Schizosaccharomyces pombe: one gene and its partner. Changing the gene in region 2 together with the main gene of any one other region gives a genetic interaction. Each region holds a gene or a part of one and is shown on either strand. Other genes may lie near its edges.

Region 1 (6,662 bases), on a different chromosome or scaffold from region 2:
AATCGGATAAGTTAGAAAGAGAATTACAACAGCTCAAACTTTCTTCGCATAACAGCATGCTTCAATTAGACCAGCGTATACAAAGTATAAATATCGAAGCGGATCAAATTGCACATGCTTGCATGGAGTACAAAAACAATATATATAAAGAGGTTGCATTTGTGCTTGGTGAAATAATACATTTCAAGCTACACGTTCAAGACAGTTTGGAGGATTTGAAGATGGACTACCAAAAGGAATTGGATGACCTATCTCGTTCGGAACTGTAAATTCTATTCATCGTATTGTGCTGTCTACTATATTCACGGCTCATGAATACATTTTTTTATCACGATGGTGTTTTTGTGTTTTATGCTTTAATCTCTTACTTTTTAATTACAATTCTAATGAAGGTAATAATAATTCAACTCTCAATTTTCAAATGTAATTTTTATTGGTTGTGTTCCTTTTATGGACATCAATTTAGTACTACATAAGCACGAACTGTTTTGGCTAAAAATTTGAGATTATTCACCAGATATTTTATTGATTGCAGATTTTAACGTTTTTATACATCATATACACGACTATTTAAAAAGCTGAAAGTAGTTCAAAATTTATTATCGATCAGCTATCAGTTTATCTATTTGTTTCTGTATTATATTCCTTAGCTGTTTAACAAAAGTTGCGTTTTGAGATACTGGTACGAACCAATCCAAAGTCAGTAGTTTTTGGTTTAATTCATTAGGGAGGAAAGTTAGCAAACCAATTGACTTCGCATAGAGCAAAGTGTCGGCTGCTTGGTAGCGTACTTTTTCAATCGGGTTTAATAGTAGGTTTGCCGTATATTTTAAAGCATGATGCCTCAAAAGTTCATTTTTGGAAAGAAAAAGCGTCCGATATAACTCTAGTATCGCAGAAAGTCCCCCTGGTGATTTACAAGTAAGAGCCCTTCTCTGTACAATAAAAATCGCTTTTGACATGCTGATATCATTAGTATTTTGAACAAAATGTAAAAAAACATACCCCTTAACGTTTTGAAAGTCCGTGAAACAACCATATGCTAACAAAGATGTGAAAGATTTCATGATTGGAAAATAGAAACGAGCTATTTCATCCTCCGAAGAAAGTATGTCTATATAGAGTTGTAGAAGATCCCGTTTACCATAACGAGAGTTAGATTTTTTAAACGAATCTTCTAACTGGTAAACATAACTTAGATAAAATTCAAAACATTTAACTGCCTAGTAGAGTTAGTATATTAAGACATCGAAGCATATGATAACTTACTAAGTCACTGCCAAAACCATCGGCAGTAAATACTGTAATTCCGTAAAAAGCTTGAAGCCTTAAATTAGGTATTTCTAGCAGAGATATATTCAGTTCATTTAGTACCTCTCCATCCATATTTGGATTATTCCTGAAACTAGTGGTTAATAGCAGAATTTTAATTGAAAACTCATTTTACCTAATACGATTAATAATATTAGTCAAAGCTTCGCATCTTCTGATTAGGTAATGTACTCTGATTTGTTCGAGTGCTTGATATGCCAAACCCCTCAAACTATCAATTTTATCAAATGTTTGCCTTATAATATAGGAAATACAACACCAAACTATATCTTCACTTAATTTTTTTCCAGATGAATCTTTGACTAATAGACTGGAAATGGCCTTCATTGCAGGTTTGCGAATCCATGAGCCAACATCTCCTCGGGTATCTGTCAAATAATTGGAGCAAACCTGAAGTAATTCTTTGACAAATTCTTCAATGCTTTCTGTTTTTTCATAAGTAAAGGGAATAATATTTTGAAGCGCATTCGCAACAGGTGCTTGATAGTCTATTGAGTGCTGTTCATGTTAACATTGGTGAAAAAATTCTTTACTTACGAGTTGGGGATAAATATCCAATAAAAGCTTGCATATCTTTTTCTGGTATCGAAAACTTATATTCGGTAAATTCTGTAGAATAATGTATACAATTCTCGCTTCTTTACTTGTTGAGCATTTTCGTATATAGTCAAGAAGAACCTCCAATGTTTCTTCCATATCATCAAATTTAACAAGTACACTGTAAGCGTCACTGATGTCTTTTATGATTGTTTCCTCCTGTAAATCAATAGCAGCGATTATAACAGAAAATGCTTCACTGAAAAATGCTCTGTCAACACGAATATCATTGGCAAAAATTTGTTGAATTCCTTTTAAAATTCCCAAAATAATTTTTGTTTGCTGTTGCCTTGAAAATTTTTTTAAGGACAGTAGGTTTTTGTGCGACAGTAAATCATGGATACGATTTATATCGAACGGGAAGCTTATGGATAAAAATCCACCTATAATACTTGCCAATCCAATCGTATAGCCAAAAATAAAATCTGCATTACCAACAGACAAATAATCAAGTATGGGAGGAAGATAGATGCTTAGCTCTTTGGGATATTTAATAGAAAGTTGTCTTAGGGAAAAAGCAGAAAGCTGCTGTACCTTCACGTCCCAGTGCTGAAGGTTTGTAAATAGTCTTTGGAAAACACAGGAACGAAACTGAGGAAAATGAGCTACTTTCATACACAAGTCACCATAACAATTTGAAATATCCGTTACAGAAACATAGTTAATATGTGATATCAAAGAAAGCCCATCGGGAATAGAAGCGTGTCTGCCAATCACCTCAAATAAAGCAGCAGTTGCAGCTCTGCGCACATTTATTTCATTGTCAAACAATACCGTTTGTAAGAGACATAAAATAAGATTCGTTTGTAAGCCTTCAATTGCTGACTTAGAGTAGCAATGATAAAATGACCAAACAAAATAACAGGAGGCATCTCTGATGCTTTGTCCTGTTACTCTAGTTCCATATCTTACTTCGTATGATAAGCCCTAAATAAGGATTAGAATGATATAAGAAAACAAAGTGTACTTACTACTTCGATCAATGGAAGAATATGTAAACATTTACTATACTTAATTAAACCTGCACCTGCTAGTTTTGCGAAGAAAAGTATAGCTCCGTGCCAAACCAGTGGAGAAGTAATTGATATGTTTACAGTGTTTTCTATGGGGTTTAAAAACATATTTTCTGTCATCAATTCAATAATGGCATCGATAACTTGCTCAGCCAAATTCCAGGGCAAACGACTTATGATCTTGGCTAGCCCTTTGGCTGCAGACCAGCGTACAAAACTGTCTATGTCGCTTACAGATGACAATAAAAAATCAACAATAACCTCCAGATATATATGTACTTCTTCGTTAGAGTCATCAGGTAATTGAAAGAAACTATCTGGGTTACTGATCGAGTATTTCCAATTAGGGGATGAATTTACAGGCAGCAATACAATTCCCAATCTTGTATAACATTTGCATAATAATTTCCTCAACGCTGAATTTTCTTGTCCAACTAAATCTTCTCGTGCTACATTCAGAAACTGAAACGCAACATCAACTGTTTGAAGACAATCATTTCTCGGACAAATTTTAAGAAAAGAAGATAAGGAAAAAAGACACCCAATTTTGTAAAAGATACTTCTCTTAAACCAACTACTCTCACAGTGGTGTAGAAAGCCTAGAAGTAAATCCAAACCGTCATCACGAGAGAATAATCGGGACAAAACAAGACAAGAAGCTTCTTTGTCTATTCCCGAATTTTCTAAGTATTTAATTGCTATAGTGTAAATGGTCTTCTTCACATCCAAGGAATCATCTAATGAATTTAACGGGAATGGGGTATTGAGTGCTTGAGAAAGCCACAGTAAAACTATGTAGTGAAAATGCCAGGTATTATTTGATGATTCATTTAATAATGTATATAATTCCTTAATATATTGAACGCCAACAGGAAAGAGGACGCGAACAGCTTTATATCCTCTTATTTTACAAAACTGGTAAAGGATAACGGTAATTGAGTTACATTTTCCGATATTTTTCACTTTCAGTAAATAGCTAGCCAAGTTTGGAACGTATTTACTCAGTAGTTTATCGAGCAATGTCGGCTGAAATTGACAAAATTGCAACTAGAATTTTAATTAGAAAGGTCACAATATCTTTTTAAACATACATATTTAACAGCGACGTCTTTAAGTTTTTCCACAGAATGTGAAGAACTTCTATCGTCTAAAACATCATCGAGAATTTGCGATAAACGTGAGGTTATCAAAGACTCATCTATAGAAATAATTCCTTCTAAAGATTCTTCTTCTTCCATTTTTGTTTAAAATTTATGCTATGATTATTTTTGACTGTAACGACTTTAAGCAATTAACGCGTGTTGAATAAATTATGAAAAACGAATAAAGCGAAAAAATATGTTAATCTCCTTTCTTTTAGAATTTCTTTCGTCCTAAAAAAAAAACTTGGTCCCTAATTTTCTGTATTGCCTTGGACAATTTCCTCCTTTGTCACTCATGAGGTTGCAAATGATACCAATAAGAAAATAAAACAAGTTTGAATAATTTTAGACCTGTAAGATTTATTAACGATTAAATTTCACAAGCTTTGATATTGAAAAACATTATGAAAAGTGGGATAATAAAAAGGTAAATTATTGTGGTGGTGTAATCTGTACCCACTACTGATATTTCAAATCTCAAATCTAAACGTGAGCAGTTATTAAGAATGCTTTTGGAGCAACCACTGTGATATTTGTAAATGATATATTATTTCTGCGAATGAATTAGGAATACAGCCAGACAGTAAGCATATCTGGTAGTAAAGGGCCTATATATTGACAGCTCTAACGCAATTATTTCATAGAGTAGACATAATATTCACGACATAGATTCAGTAAGTTCGCATGTTATTCATTCTTTTGGTACAAGACTAGCATTTGATATTACAAATGTATAGCAGTATCGTTTAAATAGATCTTTACTTAAAGATTCTCAAACGTTACAATAATTTTCCCAAGATGTTGGCCTTTAAACTAGTCGGCATAAATTTACAGAGCAATTGTAAGTACTTGCTAAACTGAAGAGAATTTGAATTAGAGGTTTCAGGTTAAAACATATTCAGTGTTAACTATATCCAGCTTGTTCGTGATATATATTTTTGAGTTAAGCCGAAATTTATTGCATGAAATAAAAAATAAAAAAAAATAAAAAAATCACTTTTATTAGCTTACAATAAACCAACTTTTCTCGATTATTTGTTTACACATGTCAAATAAGGTGTTTCGATATACATCCCTGTTGTCAGAGCAACGATTTATATATATCGCTTACCACTAAATTTGCAAAGTCTCTTCAAGCCGTCGAATTTAATGAAAACCACCATGTTGATGCTAGTATTGCTAGTCTGCTCATACATACATTATGTATGTGCGCAAATTCGATTCGTCACTCCGGCGACAACAGATAGTATGGATTTTACCGCTATTTCGTTTTCATGGGAAGAATCTAATACGGGAATACCTCTTGAGGACATAACCAACACAGTTTTTTATATATGTAGTGGTAGCATGGATGCTCCTCAACCTTGTGCAGTCTTGTATACGTCCCCTAGTCCTTCTTCTATATCCCAAGCTGGACCCTTCGCTATTTCTCAGGTTTTTGGACCAGCTGGACGTCTTTACTTTCTTTGGGCACAATCTACATATGCTGGTGGTATAGTTAATGACTATACTGACTTTTTCACTGTTAATGGTCTAACAGGAACTTTTGATAATTACGAAATTTATGCGTCTTTGATGGCTCTTGGTGTGTATCCTTATGTTCCTACCCTTACTGGTTTTAGCACTTTTCTTGGTGTATGGCCTACAGGTACAATGCGAGATTGGTATCTATCTCAAACTACCGGTGTTCTCCGTACAGGACCTATTCAAAATCGACCAGATTCTACTTTTACTGCTGCTACGACCGACATACAACCGCTATGGGAAACTTCCTCTTATTCCGTATTTACCACGTTTGCAGGTCCTCCCATTGCCACCTCGACTGTCTTTGCATCTCCAACGTACATGTATACGTTGTATGCTAATTATGCTAGTACGGCCTCTAAGCCTACTATAATCGCAACTCCAACTGCTGGTTTAAGGAGACGAGACAGCTGGGCTCAAGCTGCTCCGAAACGTGGGATGCGTTTAGGTGAACACAAACGTGGGTTGTTATATTCCTAAATTGTTAATTTTTTTTAAGGCCAAAGCCTTTCATGTCATTTAGATTTTTCATTAGCACACTAGGATATTACTGTGTGCATTTTTGTCTGCTTCCTTTAGCTCAAATACATTGAGTCGTTCGTCAAAGAAAACAAAATATTTTGGTTATTTGTTATCTAAAGTCATGTTTTTTTTCATATTTACCATTATGCTGTTTCTGTGGAGTTAATTTCACGTAAAAGCATCTTCAAGTGCATGAGTTATTTCTTCATTCGTTCAATTTTTACTTTCCTTTCTCCCTTTTCATTCGTTCTTTTACATATTTAGGCAAAAAGAACTCTCGGTTAAACCCTTTTCTTTAGTTATCATTTTCTACATTTAATAAATAATTATGGTTTTATTTAGAATTTATTTTGTAAATTATACTTGTTTGAACGCATTGTTTAATTAAGTAATCGCGACAAATAAATAAATTGTGTGATGACAGTGCTATGCCAGAACGCCCAAATAGTCGGAATCAATTACTAAATTCACTAAGTTAATATTGCAAAAGCATTACAAGTAATGTTCAATTAAATCATAACATTAAATAAAA
Region 2 (3,608 bases):
ATTGCCATTAAGCTTGTAGCTCCAGTTTATCTAGTAAATCGTCAATCATCTCCATTTTTTGATTATATTCGCTTTCATAAGGTGTTAATGTATCTACAACTCCATCAATGCACAAATCCTCATGGTAAATGCCAAAACGTTTTGAGAGGAAATAACGAATATCATCAATGAGTTCGATCGTGTCTGTTTCTTGTCTCTGTAAAATTCGATCAGCACTTTCTTTGACTAATTCACAGAATTCAGGATCGTCAATCAAGTGCTCCAAATGATTTGCCATATATTCGGAAGCGTATTGCTCCAGGCGAGGCGTAGACGTATCCCAAGCTGTTCGTAGAATATCGTAAATACTATCTATAGGCTCTTCTTGTTTAGTAATAACTATAGAAGCTAAAGATTTCAAGCTTCTATCTTTATCTAACGACAACATGTCTGCAACGTAAACTACATCTAAAGCTAATTCCGGCGCTATATCAGTTTTGTCGGTATATAAAAACTTCAATACAATTTCAACAACAGAACTTGAAAAAGGTAAAGACAAAACCGGTAGTTCTTGATTGCTTTCCAAAAATGGTCCTGCTAACATGTCCAAAAAATATTCACATCTGCACATGATGGCACGATGGACGGGATAGCGGTGTGTATAAGATTGCAAGTAAGCATCGTGAAACGAATACTGATCGGAAGGTTGGTTAAGAGATTCAATGGGTACTTTGTAGTTAGAGATTATATAATCCAAAAATTCTCCTAGATCATTTTGAGTTTTTGCCAACTGGATTTTCTTCCAATCTCTAGAGTGTAACTGCTCGCGATCTTTTTCATACAATGCGATAAAATCGTTTAACTGGAATTTTTTTCCAATACTCAGAAGAGCATTGTTATACTGTTTGGTGAAAACAGCATTTGTGTCTAAGTAGAGATATCGCAAAATTGATTCAAACTCTTTAGCAAAATGTTTGACTTCAATTTCATGTTCACTGGGTCCCAATTTCGAAAATTTTGATTTAAAATATGAACTTCTGGCAGCTAAATAGAATTTATGAGCAAAAACCCTACCATATTGACCGGCAAAGACTATGTCAGTAGTAAAATGTAAAGCCGAGTTCGACAACAAGGAAGTTATGTGACTAGCATAAGGTTGGGACTCATCAATGGCTTTAGTAATATCATAAGAAAGAAGCATACGGCGAATATTATCATTAAGGGCACCATACAAACATCTTTCTCCTTGAAAAGTATCTCGTTCGCATAAAGCACCATTTTCAAGAAGAAATTTTACAACTTAAGCGTGAGAAAATATAATAATTGAGAGCAAAACATTCATAGCATACCTGGTTCATGCCCGCAAAGACTCGCAAGGACTAAAGGCGAGTAGTCAAATTGGTCTACTTGATTAATAGGTGTGTTATAGTTTTCGACCAAACTGGATTTTGAATTTAGCAATTGCAGTTAAAATTGTTTATCGATTCAATATTTTTAAATTGCACATACCTCTTGACAACTTCCAAATCTCCACGCCGACAAGCTTCACAAAGCTCAAGAAATTCTTGGGTATCATTTACTGTGAAAAGTGAGGAAGACAGCTTCTTCTCATCCATTGCCTTTGACCAAAGGTCATACTTGGAGAAAAGCTTTTTAGAATTTTCACCACCTTGCAATTCGACATGTGTTGTCCCTGTATTTTGATCTTGAGAAGCCATTTTAATAAATGAAGAACAATTAACAACCGATTAAAAGGTTATACTGAGCAAAGATTGCACTTATGTTCAACAGTATTATCGACTTAAAATTTAATTGATCATATGCGAAATGTAGTTGGTTAACGAGGGTTCTATGTAATTGTTCAAGTTCGATGTGATTTGTGAACGACTGACCAAGGCGGCGTCAGCATTTAACTACTACGTCTTCCACCACTTTATATATTCTTGTGTTTTCCGTTTTCATTAATCATATATCTTAAGTTAAAATTATTTGCTACATGAATGAGATAACTCTCTTTATTAAATCTTCCTCTGCAAATGCTGAACGAAGGATTAACCCACAATGGACTGTTAGTCAGCTTAAGACCAAATTAGTTCCTATCGTAGGGACACCAGAACAATACCAAAAACTTACGTATGAACCTGCTTCCAGTACAGTCCCTGGACACGTTTTCACTAGCGAAGAAGAGAATTTAGACCTAGGGGAATTCAAGCTTCAGCCTCTGGGGACTATAGTCGTTGAGGATACACGCCCTCCTCATTTGCGTCTAGACTTTGACGATCTTTCACAGGTTGATAAATATGTAATGCCTCGTGAACAGTATGAGAACAGGACAGATTCTGTCTATGCCTGGAAAAAAAGAAATCAGCTTGGACGATTCAATCCAGACTTTGAAGCAAGTAAAGCTTCTCGACAAGAATCTTTAAAACGTGAATTAGTCGACTTACAAAAAAATTTAAATTCTAGGTGCTGTGCAGCAGGAGAGAGATATGGAACTATTCGCTATATTGGACTAGTGCCTGAAATTAATAATGACAATCTGTGGGTTGGCGTCGAATTTGATGAACCAGTTGGGAAAAATGATGGGACAGTCAGCGGAAAGAGATACTTTAATGCGAAAAATAAACATGGATCCTTTCTTCGATCTTCTGAAGTTGAAGTAGGAGACTTCCCTCCAGAAGATATTTTAGAAGGTCTTTGATGTTGTTATTCGTTTTACAAGGTTCCATGTTAATGATTTCCTTTTTTTTTGTTAAATCTTGTATGCAGGCTTCGATTGCTAGGAGATGACTCGCTTAAGATAATGAACAATTTTCTAAAAAAATGAAAGTCTAAAAAGTAAATCATTTAGTTTAGTCATTTCTCAATTAAAATATTTTTACTCAATCAAAGAAAGCATTATAACTGTAATGAATTGTTTGTCTGGCTTTTCTTTTTTTTTTATTTACATCGTTTTACCGTAGTACCGCTAATTAAAACCACGAACGAAAGAAAACTGTGTTAGGCCTATTTGCGCATTCCTTCAACCCCTTTATTTATTTTTTTATTCAGTTTTTGAGCCAAATATTAGAAGTACTCTGATAATTCTTTAAAAGATACAAAGCAGCAATCTCAACATGAAAGATGATCACGATGCATGGGAACCAGAAGAACTAGTCAGTGACAATAACTCTTCAGAAAATGAGCTACAAGAAGACCAAAATTCTTCAATAACTTTTTTACCACCTTCAGTTAATAAATCGAATCCCGCAAAATCGAATTACTATCATTCAACAGTCACTGATGATATTTCCAAGAGTCAGCCATATCGATTAGGAGTAGATGAAGCTGGTAGAGGCCCTGTCTTAGGACCTATGGTATATGCTGTCGCTTACTGTCCAGTCGATTTCGATTTGACCAACTATGGGTTTGCTGACAGTAAAACTTTGGCCTCCTTAAAGCGAGAGGAACTTCTGAAATTAATTTGCAACAAATCTAACGAGCTAGGAAAAAACGTTGGATGGTCTACTATGTCTATTTCCGCAAGAGAATTAGCTGCAGGAATGCTGAGGTACCGGAACAAGTATAATTTAAATCTTCAAGCACATGATACGACAATTGACTTAATAAAAAAAGTTTATGAATCAGGA

The links.
Region 1: of alp11 (region 2) and alp1, extra expression of one rescues a mutant of the other (dosage rescue), as found in Schizosaccharomyces pombe (2 studies listed by BioGRID).

What each region holds. Positions count from the first base shown.
Region 1 is NC_003423.3:3,352,546-3,359,207, forward strand, and holds alp1 (tubulin-specific chaperone cofactor D Alp1), read right to left. Parts: upstream 4,503-6,662; 5' UTR 4,181-4,502; coding exon 4,034-4,180; intron 3,990-4,033; coding exon 2,901-3,989; intron 2,857-2,900; coding exon 1,870-2,856; exon of another isoform or gene 1,831-1,869; coding exon 1,448-1,830; intron 1,400-1,447; coding exon 1,270-1,399; intron 1,224-1,269; coding exon 1,006-1,223; exon of another isoform or gene 964-1,005; coding exon 600-963; 3' UTR 501-599; downstream 1-500. Other genes in the region: protein Ndc80, read left to right, coding at 1-269; knh1 (KRE9-like protein), read left to right, coding at 5,234-6,088. UniProt on the Schizosaccharomyces pombe protein: Has a function in the folding of beta-tubulin. Microtubule-associated protein that is essential to direct polarized cell growth and to position the nucleus and septum to the center of the cell during mitosis.
Region 2 is NC_003424.3:2,251,493-2,255,100, forward strand, and holds alp11 (tubulin-specific chaperone cofactor B), read left to right. Parts: upstream 1-1,890; 5' UTR 1,891-1,975; coding exon 1,976-2,680; 3' UTR 2,681-2,948; downstream 2,949-3,608. Other genes in the region: ubiquitin ligase Btb3, read right to left, coding at 8-1,278, 1,329-1,420, 1,489-1,697; ribonuclease H2 complex subunit Rnh201, read left to right, coding at 3,096-3,608. UniProt on the Schizosaccharomyces pombe protein: Required for microtubule function and cell polarity. Involved in the proper folding of alpha-tubulin.